Mus musculus: one gene and its partners. The protein of the gene in region 2 interacts with the protein of the main gene of each other region in a pairwise test. Links are inferred from orthologs where the notes say so. Each region holds a gene or a part of one and is shown on either strand. Other genes may lie near its edges.

Region 1 (3,531 bases), on a different chromosome or scaffold from region 2:
TCATGGGGACAGTGATTATAGAAGCCCCGTGGTTTCATATCTTCAAGGCATCCGGCACAGGCTGAGTTCCAGCTTGGGGCCATGGGGTGAGGGGAGCTGTGGTGTGAGGGGATATGACCGCTGTGTTTGTCAAACTCTGATGGCAAGAATCATTGCATTAACCCCAGATCCCTCTTTCCTCTCCAAAACACCCAAATCAGAATCTCAAGGGAGCAGTCTGGGAAACCATCACTGGAAGAATCCTTGGGCAGTTAGGGAATCACTCTCTGGGAGAGTATAACAGTCTTGCCAAGGGAGCCAAAGGGGTCGGGGGTCAGGGGTCAGGGGTCAGGGGGCCCGACAGATCCAACTACCTATAGTCCTGGACGAAGATGTTACTTCTTAGAGCTTCCACATCCTTTCATGAACTCTAAGAGATCTTATCTGTATTCAAGGATTGAGACACTGAACAGCATACAGAAGACTCTGCAGTCGCCCTTAACTTTGGCCCCACTAGGAACTGGGTCTGCAGAAAGAGCCCCCGACACCCTGATGTAGACTATACACACCAAGAGAAGGCAGAAGACATGGACATTCCATGCACAGTCGATTGCCAGAGGCTGGGTAGGCCTTTTAGCCACCTTAGCATCTGAAGGACCCCCACTTAGGCTCAGAGCTTTCTGAGGATTGGACAGAGGGTTTCTTTGTGAGTGGGGAGAAGGCAATTAGCGGGTAGTCCTTAAAACTGCAGTCATATATCCACAGAAACCAATTCTCTGGACTCTTACCCCTGGTTCAGAAATCTTGAGTGATGATTGTCCTAAATCACCTTAGATGTTCTATATGGACTTTACTGGTGCTGGGTCATCGGTGCTCATACAGGCCTGGCCTAAAACCCCTCTCAGCTTCAGCCACCTCATGCACTGCGTGGTGAGGCCCGGACTTGGAATCCAGGCTGAGTATGTTGACAAACTCTAAAAGTCAAGCAGGTCTGTTTTCTCTACCCTCCTCGTTATGAAGGGAGGACATATGCTGTTCTGACACCTGTCTGGACTTCCTGGCACTGGTTTGGACAACAAACAGTGTGACTGTTTAACAAAAAGGAAAGAGAGTCAGAAAAGCCCTGGACAGCCTCTGACCTGCTCTGACTTCCTGGCAGGCTGAGTGTCGCTTGGTCGCCTTGACCACCAGAGGGAGAAACCTTGGGAACATTTGCTCAGGACTCTGTGCCCTGAAACAACAAACCACCATCCCATGCTCTCTTGCAGTCACTCTCCTTGACCTGGGGATTCAAGGAGTATGCTTGCCCAGAGCCCTGGAGATGCACCCCCGCCAACACCACACCTTACTATTCTAAATACATATCTCAAGCCAAAGTTGCTAACGAGCTTGGAGAAACGGGTAAAAAGGAAGACAGTGGTGGCGATGAAGGAGCTGAGCCAGCAAATCCAAGAAACCAAATGCCGGCGGGAAAGGCTGCTGAAGGACAGCAGGCAGCTACTAGAGGAAAAATACCGTGTGCAGGCTGAAAACCAGCTTTTCATGGAATACCTGCGTAAAAATAAGGAACAGTGTGAGAAGAAACAGGAGGAGCTGTGGAAGCAGTACGTCCAAGAATGTGGCGAGATAGAACGCGAGAGACAAGAATTGGCATCCAGATACAACCAGAGAAACGCAGCTCTTCAAGCCCAGCTCCTGCAGGGCAGAAAGACCCAGAAGGATTTGAAGCAGCAGTTGCAGGCACTGAAGCCAGTTTACAAGATAAAGGAGGGCCAGGACGTGAAAATACAGACCTTGGAGAAGGAGCAAGAGAAAGTCCGAAGTGAGACTGCGACCAAGGACCGGGAGGCGCACTTCCAGTTCCTGCGGGAAAAGGCACTGATGGAGAAGGAGCTGCAAGAGTGGCATCTGATGGAGCTGGGGCAGATCAACACCACGGGGCTTACGAGGAAGTACAAGGCCTTGGCGCTAGCAGCCAAGCAGGCTCATTCTGAGTTCTGTGGCAGTCTCCACAGGGAGAACCAGCAGCTACGCAAGGAGCTTCAGCAACTGAGCCAGGAGTACGGCAGGTTGGATGCTGTGAGGAGCCAGCTGGAAAAGCACCGGCAGCTGGCGAAGGAGCAGCAGTGGTACCTAGAAGCCTTGACCAGAGGGCGGCAGCGGCTGCAGGCAGAACGCGAGCGCCATCATCGTGGTCATAACCCACGCCTCAAGGAACAGAGAGCTTCAAAGACCATGCTGAGCACCAAATCAAAAGCAAGTTCAAAGTAACAGCTACTGCAACTGAATTGAGGCGCAGGGAATAATCTACAAGCCAAAAAGTATCCTTCGTGGAAAATAGAAACACACTTTCAGGAAGGGCAGTTGTTGCAGCATGGGGTCGTGCTCCTTGTCTGGGACCCACATCCTCACTGTCTGTGTCCCTGGGGCTGTTGTAGATTCCGGAGATTTAGAACACTTGGAAAACTTTTTAACGGGTTATACCACCCATTTTTATAGTAGCATTTGAAATTCTCAGAGTACCTAGTTAAGACATGTATTTTACCACACTTTTTTTTTCTTAATGTGTACTCTGCAGTCCACAAAGTATAGTGTATAGCTTACATGTTCTATGTATTTTGGGCCATTTGAAGCAAATAAGAATCTTATTTTAAATTGTAGGGGTTTGTTGGTTTAGAAGGGTTTCAGGTTTGCATTTGTGATGAACTGTTTTTGTTGAACTGTGGGCTCTGGTCTGGAAGAATAGCCTTGTTTTTGGGTCATGCCCCTGCATGGGGAAAAACATAGCCAGCTTCATGTTTCTCAGAAATTTTTGGCAATGAAAACTTCAAGGTAACTGTTTAGCTTTATTTATGTGTAAAACAGTTAAAAAAAAACAACAGGATTAAAGGGTAACTTAGCTTGTCAATGTGCCTTATCATCTACTTTTAACATTGTTGGCGAATATATATACTTTGCCATTAAACAGGGTTGTTAAAAACAAAATTTAACTGTAATTAGTTCTTAATGCTCCCCAGATTTATTAATGTAATAAAAATACTATATCCCTCAATATTTTATGGTATTATTGCCACCCCTTTGAAATGACAGAACATGCATGTGATGATGTACACCTGGTAAATAATGTAAGCATCCTGACTTGGGGTCAGGCCACTATGTCACTGGCTAACAGGTGGGTAGTGTATACAGCATGGACGCACTGGGCAAGGATGATTTGTGACCCTTATGTGATGCCAGCATGGTACAAGGTCTCACAACACTACTCAGACACACAAAATATATGAATTGCATTCTTCCAGAATTTTCCATTTTGTTTTGGACTGAAACTGAACACAGACAACTGAAAGGTAGAAAGGGACGCCGTGTGTCAGGGGAATTGTCACAGTGCCAATCCAGTCCCCCCATCTCCACTGCCACCCCTGCCTACTGTTTGTAAAGGAGAGTCCACAGACCAAAGGCTGTTATCTTTAAAGCATTCTTACACTTCATTCTTTTCTCATGGAATAAGTATTATAAGCTCACCTTGAGCTTCGAGGCCAACTTCAGATCTTT
Region 2 (3,500 bases):
TCTGCGGAGAGAGTGAACAATACATGAATGAACCTGGTACTCTCCATGACAGCTGGTTTTCCCTAAAGCCCGGCTTTACTGCCTTTATGATCAAACTCTTAAGAAATTACACATGTATAACATCTCAGGACTTCCAGAGTGCTGGGATTAAAGGTGAGTGTTACCACACCTGGCTCAATCAAAAGTGAGGCTACTGCCACAGATTTCTACTAGTGTAGAAACAACATTAAGTTACTATACCAGTGTTTGTTAACTACTAAAAAAAATAGGTACATGTGAAACATACTATTGTTTAAGGTTTATTTTGATGTACATGCATGCCAGGTGCCTGAGGAGGCCAAGAGATCACTGGATACCCAGGGCTGGAGTCACAACAGGTTATAAATGGGAGCTGACTAGGTCTTCTGTAAGAGCAACAAGTGCCCGTACCTGCTGAGCAATCTCTCCTGTTCCATGCACTGCATTACTTTTGTTGTTTGTTCGTTTGTTTTGGTTTTCTGAGACAGGGTCTCATATATCCCAGGCTGACTTCAAACTTGCTTTAGAGCTGAGACTGGCCTTGAGTTCAATTCTCCTGCTTCTGCCTCACAAGCTAGGATTACAAGTGTGTACCCCCATGCCCAGCTTTAAAAATTAATTCTAAATTAGCATTGTATGTTAAAAGGCCAGGGCTTACCAGTTATAACCAAAAGCAGGGTCATAAAGACTTCCGCACAGTCTGGAACCTTCATTTCATCCACATCAGAGATGTCTTTATACTGGGATACCCAGGCAGCCTCTGACGAAAGCATTGAGTCCATTTTTTGAAGAGCAACTAACACGAAGGAAGAAGGATCAGTTATTTCATCCTTCAGTTATCAACTCACACTTTTTTTTAAGGAACTATGTTTTTCATACAAAATAAATTTTTAATCTCCCACTAACTAATCACACTATACTTAAAATGTCTACTTCAGAGTTAAATAAGATACCTGATTCTCCCTCAATAGTTATGCTGACTAGAAGTGGCACATCTGAAAATACCCAACCAAGAGTTGAAACTGTGTATGGCAGAAATCTACAGAACATCACTACCTTCTACTGGTTTGCTATCCCAACATGTAGACTGTAATTAAAACAAACAAACAAAAAGAACCCAAAACAAACAGAAGTCTTGTGGAAAGAAGACTGTCTTTGAAGGTAGTTCAGTAGATCCTGCCCAGGAAAGATTTAGGCGCCTATAGTTCTTACTCAGAGCTGTAAGAAAATCAAAACTCCGAAACTTTATACACCAAAACCAGCCATTGCCAGGCAGTGGTGGTCCATCCCCTTAATCCTAGCATTTGAGAGCAAAGGCAAGTGGATCTTAATGAGTTTGAGGCCAACTTGGTCTATACAGAGCGTTCCACGTCAGCTAAGGCTACACAGTGAGACTCTGTGTAAAAACAAAAACAAAAGCAAGCAAAAAAAACAACAACAGAAACAAACTAAAACCATCCAGAGAGCCCTCCCGCTCGACAGCCATACGGGCGCTTACACTTTCTCTCCACAGTCAGCCATCTCTGGAAACAGGTCTCCTCCGACAGGATGTGCATGCAGCTGGCGAATGTGCTGGGATAGCCGTGAACGGTGTGCAGCTCCCTTTCAAACAGCAGCACCTCATCCACCAGGTGACAGAAGAGGCTGTCATCGTAGAGCAGGCAGGGGATATCAGAAGCCAGCTTCTCAAGAATGAGCATCACAAGGCCACGGGAAAACTCAAGCTGAAAGAAAGGCACAGGCATGGGGGTTGTGCCCAACTCCAAGGAAGCTGAAAGGCACAGGCTCAGCCTCTTACCCTTGCATTTACTGCAGAGCCCACTTTGTCCAATATTGGCTGAATCTTCTCATCCAGAAACTGTGTATGGTTTCCAATCCACATAAGTACCTGAGCCAAGTACCATTCAGGCTAAGGGGAAGGGAAAATGGTATCAATTCTTTATGTATTCTATGGTGATGGGAAATTCTAATTAAATGCACTTAGTTAAAAACAGACACAAAAATTAATTGAAAATTCCTGAATGTAAGAAAATAATTCTTATCCCGCACTTCAATTTCACAAAAGACTTCATAATCAAATGTTTACCAATATACTTCCACAACAAATTCCAATAATGCGGCTTAAGTCAGTAAACTCATAATTTAAAATACCACATTGGGATTAGGTGTGGCTTGCTGGTATAACATCTGCCTAGCTACAAAGCCTGTTTTAACCCCAGCATCACTAAAAGAGGAAGAGAGGGCATAAGAACAATCATGAAGAAAAGTCTCTCTCACACTTAAGAACAAGCATCTGCCCAGCACACACAAAGCCCTGATTCCAGAGCAAAACTAAACAAGCAGACAAAAGCCACGGCACAGGGTGGGCCGATGGGTAAAGGCACCTGCCAGCAAGCCTGACAACCCGAGCTTGATCCCCAGAATCCACATGGGAGGGAGAAAGCCAACTCCCACAGACTGTTCCTGGCCTACACAGAAAACAAAAACCAAACTTTTTAAAGCCCTCCAAACCTAGCATGATGAGGCATTACAAACAACCAAAACTTTTACGTTGTTTTTTGAAATAGCACTCCAAAACAGAAGGCTCTGAGATAGGATCTCAGGTAGCCCACGCCAGCCTCAACGTCTCTATGTGCCTGAGGGTAATGAACGCTGGGTCTTCTTCTCTACTTCCCTAGTGCGAGGGTTTCGAGCATGCACCGTCACCTGTGACTTATGTGGTGCTGAGGACCAACCTGGGCTCCATGTGAGCGGAGCAAGCACTCTGCCTACACTGAGCTGCGAATAATTTTAAACATGATTTCTTTTCTGCTTCCTCTTTTTAAAAGGTAAAGTAAGGAAAAAGAGTCAACTGCTCTAATTACAAATATACCTAAGCCTTAACATAGGTGTAACTTCCTAAAGGAAATAGGCACAAAGCATTCACATTTCTTCCACTTTGCTCTGTGTGCACGCATGTTTGAATGTTTGTGTCTGTGTACAATGCCACTGTGTACGGGCACAATCAGATGACACCCTGTGGGAGTCACTTTTCCCTTGCCACTACCATGTGAGTCCTGGGGATCAAACTCAAGCTGGCAGGTTTGGAGGTATGTGGCTTCACCTACTGGGCCATGCCACCTGTCCCACATACAGCATTTTAAGTTGTCTTTAGAGAGGATTCTGCAAGCATTTCAAAAGTTTTTCTAGACGACAACTTGAAACCATATAGTAGGCTGGGGCTATAATTCAGGGATAGAGCATTTGCCTCCCACATGCAAGGCCTCAGTTCAATCCCCAGCACTGACTGGCAAATCCCCATGTGTCCTAAATGTTGGGGATATAAACAAGGGCTGCATCTAATCTCATGACTGTCTCCATGACAGTGTACTAAATTCATTAGGATCACACTTTCAAAATGAGCCAACACAACGCAGAATTTTCTTTCTTTCATTTTTTTTTTTTTTTTTTTTTGGTTTTTCGAGACAGGGTTTCTCTGTGTA
Region 3 (4,008 bases), on a different chromosome or scaffold from region 2:
CAGGTAAGATGTGCCCACTGGTGTAGTAATGGCATGACTATTATAGGGTGTAACCAACCACTCTGATTAGATTTGAGACCTGGTTCTGGTCCACAAAAGGGAATTCATGCCTGCTACTATAAATCTGGTCAAACGTCCATGTCTGGGCAGGTCATAGGCCCTAGGGGGAGAACCTACTAGTACTGTTTTTCTAAATGGTCATTTCTGTCAACCTGCCTTCTAAATATCTGTATTTATATTCATAGTTTAGTGCTGCTCTCCAAGGAGCTTCTTTTTTCTCTAGATAAGTTTATGCAGAAACTCACAACGCTCAAACTGTTGAGAATAAGTGACTAGAATGAGTGCCTAGCCCTAAATGAGATGTGTGTGTATCACCACTACTCCAAAGTTCAGGGGCCGTTATGCTACAAGGACTGGACAGAATGGAAAGAGCTGGAGGATGGAGGGCAGTACTGGGAAATGCTGCCTTTTAGATATGACAGAGCCATGCACTTGTGAATTCACAGCAGCTGTGGTCACCTGCAAGAGACCTGTACAAGACCGGTAAAAGAGCAAGCCAGTGAACCTTCCAGCATGGATGGACGAGGCTCCTTTCCAGTTGAAGAGCTATTAGAAGTTGATACCTGCCAAGGAATTGTCAATTTTCTTGCAGGTGCATACTATGCACATGTGGGTAGGACCAATTGGACTCTGAATCACAAAAATGTGTGGGATACGATGGGGCTTTAGAGGACAGATGTTGATATGAGGGTGGATATGACCCATATTCATTGGTACATATATGAAAGTATAAAATAAAAATAAAAAACTGGCCAGGTGTGGTGGCACACGCCTTTAATCCCAGCACTTGGGAGGCAGAGGCAGGTGAATCTCTTGAGTTTGAGGCCAGTCTGGTCTACAAAGTGAGTTCCAGGACAGTTAGGACAATGCAGAGACCCTGCTCCCCCCCCCCAAAAAAGAAGAAAACCAAATCAACCAAACTACAACAAACAGTAAAACAAACAACCTCTCCATATTCTAAATTTATAAAGATACTCTCCTATATATTCCACAATTCCTAAAGTTTTGCCTTTATCATTTGTTTTGAATCCATTTGAAACTGGATTTTGTATATATTTAGAGATAGGGCTCCAATTTAATTTTCTCCCAAGCTACATTTAATCTTTGAAAATTAAATAGTAACTTTTAAAAATGTATGTGAGATTTCAAGCCTCTGATGATTTTATTCCCTCATGTTGCCTGTGACTGGTTTCCCAAAAGAGCTTCATATCAGATTCTATCAACTGAGCTTTCTCACCTTCCTAGACTCTTTAGGATTCTTCCCAGCTTTTAGACATTATTTAAAAATAGTTACAGGAATAGGACTAGAGAGATGGCATGGTGGTTAAGAATACTTCCAGTTCTTTCAGAGTTCTTTGAGTACTCGTGTTAGGTGGTTCACAACTACCTGTAACTCCAGCTCCAAGGGATCTGATGCCTAATGTCTGTGGCTTGTGCACACATTTGATCACGCTTGCACTTGCACACAGTTACAAAGCCGGGCAGTGGTGGCACACACTTTTGATCCCAGCAGGTGGATCTCTGAGTTCGAGGCCAGCCTGGTCTACAGAGTTCCAGGACAGTCAGAGCTAGATGGAGAAACTTTTGAAAAAATAAAAGAAGATACCCAGGAATAGCTGTGGAAACCACCAGACTCTTTCCATATCTAACTGAAAATGGCACTAACCCCGGCCTATAAAGACAATCTGTTGTCACAATAGGGGGATGATTCAGTAGACATCCTGGGCTGCTAAGATCATGACTATAAGGTGATAGAAGGGGAATGAAAGAATGAAGAAAAAGGGGATGGAAAAGAATTGGAGAAGGACAGGGTATAAAGGAGAGAGAGGAGAGAGGAAGAGAGGGGGGAGAGAGGAGAAAAAGAGGGAGGGAGAGGGAAGGAGGGGAGAGAGAGGGGGGAGAGGGAGAGAAAGAGGGAGGGAGAGAGAGAGGTGAAGAGGTGGAAATGGGGGAAACTTGATGTAATGGAGGGAAAAGGACAGAGTTGGAGCGAGAGAGGGAGGGAGGAGAGAGGGAGAGGGAAGGAGAGGAGAGAGAGGGGAGGGGGAGAGGAAGGGAGAGAGGAGAGAGAAAGAGAAAGGGAGGGAGAGAGGAGAGAAAGGGGGAGGGAAAGAGACAGAGGGGAAGTGGTGGAAATGGGGGAAACTTGATTTAACAGGGAGGGAAAAGGACAGAGCTGGAGCACTGGCTTAAGGACCTGGACTCCTAGTGTTCACACAAGATACCTTTCTCAGTACAGAATTCCAGTTTTGAAGCTCGAAAATGGATTGGACCCAAGTTGACTCTTGGATTTACAACGGCAGTCTTTAAATTCTGCTTGGAGAAATAAGAGAGAAGCAGACGATAGGGGCAGTATTTCAGAACACAGCCTTTCCCAACTTGTATCTCTGTTGTCTAAGAGATACTCTCATCGTCCTCACACTCTAAGCTCGCCTCATCTAAGTCCTCCCTTTGATCCCTCTTCCATCCCAAACTGCCCACCCTTCCGAGGGCGCCTTCCCATTCCCGACTGAATCCTTGGCTGAAGCGCTTCTCCCCGTCTCCCCCCTTGCTGGCTAGACTACAAACCCCAGCCGAGCTTCTGCCTCCCACTAGCTCTGGCAGAACCTTGAAGTGACTTCTTTCCCAGCAAGCGTGGGCTCAGACCCCGCCTGCTTGCTCTGATTTCCCCCGAAGTGATCAGAGCACTAACGCTTCCCGTCCTAGTTGGCGGCCACTTCAACAGTTGCTGGGTAACTACGTAGAGGGGCGGGGCCTGAGCGCCCAGCGCGTGCTCCAGCCGGGCAACAATTCAACAAAAGCGCTATTTCAGGCGGAAGTGACCATTTCTGGCCCCGGAAACAGGAAATCGTGATTGGCTTGGACTTATTATCGCGAGGCTTACTGTACACCCGGCTTGCACTGCGCTATTTCCCGCGCGGGCTAACCTCGTTCCCAGGAGTAAGGCGCGGCCTTTCCTACGCCAGCGCCGCTGTCATGGGTTTCCTGAAACTGATTGAGATCGAGAACTTTAAATCGTACAAGGGTCGACAGATTATCGGACCATTTCAGAGGTTTACCGCCATCATTGGACCCAATGGCTCTGGTGAGATTAAAACCGGCTGTGGCCCTGCGCGCGTCCCGGTCCGGTTCCCCCTGCTTGTCTGCAAAGTAGTACAACCTACCCCCATGCAACCCGAGACATTGTGAACCCTGAAATGTTCCTTGATCCTCTTGGTGGGGCTTGGATCTGAACTTGCTTTCCCTTTTGGCATACACTGAACTCGAGTCTCTTCCCAACTGTCAGTTGGCGGAGTTCGGCGCAGACCCCCTCTGGCCCGAATGGTATGGGCCGAACCGTGCGTCGCCCCGCCCACTACCCCTCCCGCCAAAAGAGGCGTTCCCGAAATTTGCTGCCAGTTGTTTGGCCCGCGGCTTCCTTCCGGTCTGCATTGTTCCACCTTCCTAAACTTGTTTGACACCTCTGGGAAAATTTGGGAACCGTAACTCTGCTTTGGCGTCCGATCCCAAGCTGTGTACTTTGTGCTCTACTCAGCCCTCCCCGCACCCGCACCTCCCGATGGAACGCTCCACTCTGATTCCTTTCCCCCCCCCCCTCTCTGCTGTGGCACTTTTGAATTTCTGACCCAGCGTTCCGCTCAGCAGCGTGGGATTGCGATGCCCCCCACCCCTCCGCATGCCCCCCACACGCCTAAGAGATTGTTGCTTTGATTTGCCTTTTTCCTACCAGAAAACCGTAAATAAGCCTGAACTTGTTCGCTTGCCAAATTGGTGGAGGGTTTGGGGTTTTATCAGTTAAGTTTATGCGGGGAGAGCAAATCCGAGATCGCGGGAAAGGAGAAGCAAAGTACAAAATAAGATAACACTTAGGCCATTATAAATGTTTTGTAGAAAAGGGGTTAGGCTGATAAGTTAGAGTGACTTTGATAGTAACCCTACTTTTTCATA
Region 4 (3,983 bases), on a different chromosome or scaffold from region 2:
GTTGGTCATGTTGTCTTTTCACAGCAGTAGAAAAGTTAACTAAGATACTACTTGTGGAAATTAAAGATATTCTAGGCATAGTTTTGATCAAGGAATTTGTAATATATTTAGGGAGAAGATGTATATCCTCTTGTGCTGTGTACCTGTGTCTATAAAGAGAGGGAATCTAAATAATAATAGAGAACCATGCTCAAATGAGTAGAAGTTTGCAGAAGAAAGGGCTAACCTGGGAGCTAAAGTGGTAAAGATAACTTCAGAATAGTATTCTTAAACTGGTACGGGAAAGATTGGATGTGACAAAGTAAAGGAAAGCAAATACAAAGAGACAGACCACGAATTGTGGGATACCTGGAACCTCTATTTAGATACTCGCTTTGAACAGCCTTAAATACACGAAGTAAGGGATTCTGGACCAGACCTGAGCATACACGGATTAGGAAGCAATTTATCAGTCCACTAGGTGTCAAAGAGTAAGCAGTGTTTAAGACCATGTGGATTAGAAGATAGAACTAGAGCAACTAGTTAGGAAACTATTGAGGTATGTGGCAATGAAGGTGCAGACTAGGGTAGAACTAGCAGAAATACAAAGGAAGGATTCAGTGGGAAAAGCCTTTAGGTGAATGATGTTAAAAAAGTAAAACAGACAGGCACATAAATGCAAACACTCAATTTCGAGCTGTTGGCACAGCTTCACAGAATGTGGGTATGAAGGAAGGAAAATGGTTCCAGCTGGGATACATGGAAGGTCAGTGTCACTACAACCTACACTGAGGTGAGCAGCCCTTCCAACTCTGAAATCCTCCCATGAAGTGCACTTCCAAGGCACTGGTCTGAAGCAACAACAAACGTTGACTGGCTACAGTTCTTACCGGGAGGACAGTCTGAGGCTCAACACAGAGGAAGCTGAAGCCATGTGAGGTCATAAGATCTGAAGCCACTAGAGAAGAAATTCTGAAGAAGGGCAGAAAGTATGAAGAGCGTCTTGTGGGGTAGACAACTGGATCAGGGCTGTGAGCCAACCTCAAGTGATTAAGAACTCTTACTCACGTCCCAAGAAATAACACAACCATGTAACCATATGAGAACAGGGTAGAGACACATGAACAAACACAAAGATGAGTTAAATCCATGAGAAAACTAAATATCGAATTTCTTACCAAACAGACCTTGTCTACTGGGGTTTATAATAAGTACAAAAAAATCCCTGTAATTATAAGATTCCTAGAAAGAGCTGGACCCATATTGAAATATTCTAAAATAACTCTAGAACTAAGTTTTTAAAAACCTTTTAAGTCTATCTTTATTTACAATCCCAAAAGTTACTGCTAAATTTAATCTGTTAAACATGAATAAGCATATCAACACACATGGCTCTATTGAGAAATACTGTGGGTTTTTAAAAAAAGCTTATCACAGAAAAAGACAATATACTCTCATTTATATAAGGTTAAAGCACAGATGATACTAGGAATATTTTGTTCAGGGATTAAACTCTTATGTGGAAAATGAACTAAAAAACAAAAAACAAAACAGGAACAAACAGCTGGGCTGTGGTGGCTCACACCTTTAATCCCAGGACCTAGGAGGCAGAGGCAAGCGGATTTCTGAGTTCGAGGCCAGTCTGGTCTACAGAATGAGTTCCAGGACAGCCAGGGCTACACAGAGAAACCTTGTCTTAAAAAAACCCAAGAAAACAAAACAAAAACAAACAAACAAAAGGCAAAGGAATAATTGTAATTGGTGCAAACTCCTAGATAAAAGGGGAAGAAGCAATCTGAGAGCCAAGGGGGCTTCTAAGGCACTTATGTGAATCATGTCCTACCTCTTAACCTGTATAGCAAACAGCTCTTTATAATCACCCAAGCAATACACTAGATTCACTTTCCATGTATGAGGAATCTCATCACAGAATAATTAAAATAATTCAAGCAGAGGAAACATGAAAACAAGACAACAAATGAAACAAACAACAACAAAAACCTTTTAAAAACAATTCAGGAGAAAGCATTCCTAAACAGGTTCTTTGTGCCACTGTTCCAGTGCGAAGATTCAATGGCAGTGTGAAGCCAAAACTAAGTGGCTCCTTTTTCTTAAGGTTTCCTGTCCTGTCAATAACTGGGAAGCTCCGGCCTCAGGGAGGTCCGCACCAGGCTCAAAGGGCCATTTACTGCAGAATCAGGAGGGGAAACTGCCCTAAGTTTCCTTTCTTCTTCCAAAGCACCCGAAGCCAGATCTGCGCTCAATTTGGAGATGCAAACTATCACCCTGTAACTTGAAGATCTCAAAGCACTACCCGGTGTGGCGGGCCCATTATGTCTTTAAAATCTAGACAAAGTAAAGTGCCCACCCTCTGACCCTCTGGCCGGTGAGACCTAGCAGGACCAGCGGGCGGGCCAGGGAGTGGCTGGCGTGAGCATCCGGAGAGTCAGGAATGTGAGAGGCCAGGCAGCTCCAGACGCTTCTGCCCTGAGGGAAACATTCCAGTGGAAACCCGCCTGGCTACGGCCCTTCCAGAACTTCACCCCCGCAGACTGGTCCAGCCTGCCGGCCTTCCCTCCTCCTTTCTCCTTTGTCTTCCCGCTGGAGAAAAACCGCCCCTCAAGAACGTGACACATCCCAAACAAAAGGGAAAAAAAAAAAAAAGACACAAAAGTTTCATAGTAAAAGATAAAAGTTGCCTTCAGCAACCCGGATATGACCTTACCTCTTCATGTTTCCGCAGGCCCCTATCACTAACTTGGGTAAATAGGAAGGAGACCTCAACTCCCAGCAATCTGTGCGGCAGACTCAAAGGTGATGAAGGTTGGAGCGTGGAACTCTGGGAAGTGTAGTAATGTGATGATGGAAAGAGAAAGCGGGTATTGGGTGATGGGTTTATTGGAAATTAAGAATTTTTGGCCCAGGTTAAAGATAACATCCAAAATATAAAGCTCATAAGCCTAGGATTCACCTTTGGCTTCTTGGATTTTTCTCTAAGTATCAATAAATCCTATATTGTTCCTAATCACCGTCTTCATTCTTGTCAGCAAGGCTTCTCTTTTAAGGATTTATCTGACCTGCCTGCTGTTTCCCCTCAAGCCTCTGGTCTAACCACATTGTATGCACTAATGCTTCTCTCTTAGTTGTAACAGATCCTTCTGGGTTCCCTTAGTTTAAAGTCAGAAGCAGTACGTACCCAGACTTTTGAATATTTTATAAAAATATATCGAAGCCAGAGTCAGATATGGTACTGAACCGGAGTTCAGTTCCCATACAGCAGTTCACAATTGTCGATAACTCCAGTTCTGAGCATCTGACTTGTTTTTGGGACACCAAGCACACACGTACATGCAGGCAAAAAACTCCGATGCAGAGCATAGCTTATTTTTAAAAAGCTTCGTATAGAAAAGTGTTTAAAAGCATTAGTTCCCGGGTTTAGGGATGTAGCTGAATCTGTAACGTGCTGGCTTGACATGCATGCACAAAGCCCCCTGTGGGATCCTCAACACCACACAAACTGGGAGTGGAATACTTGTTCGGGAAGTTCAAAGGCAGGCTGGACTACACGAGACCCAATTTCAACAATAGCAACAGCATGAATAACAAAAACAATAAAAGTATGTGTTCTTAATGGCCCAAAATGGAAAAGCAAGTATCTCTAAAGTTATGAAAATGTATTAATTTATAAGATGGAAATTTCAAGCTACAAAGCTCATTTAATTACATAGCTCAAAGCAAGCCAGGTCTACATATTCTCAAAAAAAAAAAAAAAAAGAAAGAAAGAAAAAAACTAAAAACAAAACCAAAACAAAACAAAAATATAAAACAAAGAAGGACTACTACCATGCCTCCAAACTATAAAAGGTAAGTAGAAAATTCTGAGACTCTGCACATTTATGAGGAAACAAGAGAAATATGATTTCTAAATGTATTGTAGGATCTTGAAATAGACAGAGGACACACGGTAAAAACTAAGTACATATAAATAAAGTATAGTTTTTATT

The links. The genes of interacting proteins can lie anywhere in the genome.
Region 1: the proteins of Rint1 (region 2) and Ccdc121 interact in binary tests that used the Homo sapiens proteins (3 or more experiments, as listed by UniProt). The two-hybrid records come from large-scale screens. The link is inferred for Mus musculus from reciprocal best matches to the Homo sapiens genes RINT1 and CCDC121.
Region 3: the proteins of Rint1 (region 2) and Ribc1 interact in binary tests that used the Homo sapiens proteins (3 or more experiments, as listed by UniProt). The two-hybrid records come from large-scale screens. The link is inferred for Mus musculus from reciprocal best matches to the Homo sapiens genes RINT1 and RIBC1.
Region 4: the proteins of Rint1 (region 2) and Rbm41 interact in binary tests that used the Homo sapiens proteins (3 or more experiments, as listed by UniProt). The two-hybrid records come from large-scale screens. The link is inferred for Mus musculus from reciprocal best matches to the Homo sapiens genes RINT1 and RBM41.

Annotation. Positions count from the first base shown.
Region 1 is NC_000067.6:181,509,133-181,512,663, reverse strand, and holds Ccdc121 (coiled-coil domain containing 121), read left to right. Parts: upstream 1-1,212; 5' UTR 1,213-1,278; coding exon 1,279-2,250; 3' UTR 2,251-3,031; downstream 3,032-3,531.
Region 2 is NC_000071.6:23,808,211-23,811,710, reverse strand, and holds part of Rint1 (RAD50-interacting protein 1), read right to left. Parts: intron 1,928-3,500; coding exon 1,817-1,927; intron 1,743-1,816; coding exon 1,517-1,742; intron 815-1,516; coding exon 677-814; intron 2-676; coding exon 1-1. UniProt on the Homo sapiens protein: Involved in regulation of membrane traffic between the Golgi and the endoplasmic reticulum (ER); the function is proposed to depend on its association in the NRZ complex which is believed to play a role in SNARE assembly at the ER.
Region 3 is NC_000086.7:152,013,496-152,017,503, forward strand, and holds the start of Ribc1 (RIB43A-like with coiled-coils protein 1), read right to left. Parts: upstream 2,801-4,008; 5' UTR 2,668-2,800; exon of another isoform or gene 2,629-2,667; intron 2,374-2,628; 5' UTR 2,286-2,373; intron 812-2,285; exon of another isoform or gene 507-811; intron 1-506. Other genes in the region: Smc1a (structural maintenance of chromosomes protein 1A), read left to right, coding at 3,037-3,145.
Region 4 is NC_000086.7:139,995,796-139,999,778, forward strand, and holds the start of Rbm41 (RNA-binding protein 41), read right to left. Parts: upstream 2,801-3,983; 5' UTR 2,713-2,800; coding exon 2,705-2,712; intron 952-2,704; exon of another isoform or gene 914-951; coding exon of another isoform or gene 870-913; intron 1-869. UniProt on the Homo sapiens protein: May bind RNA.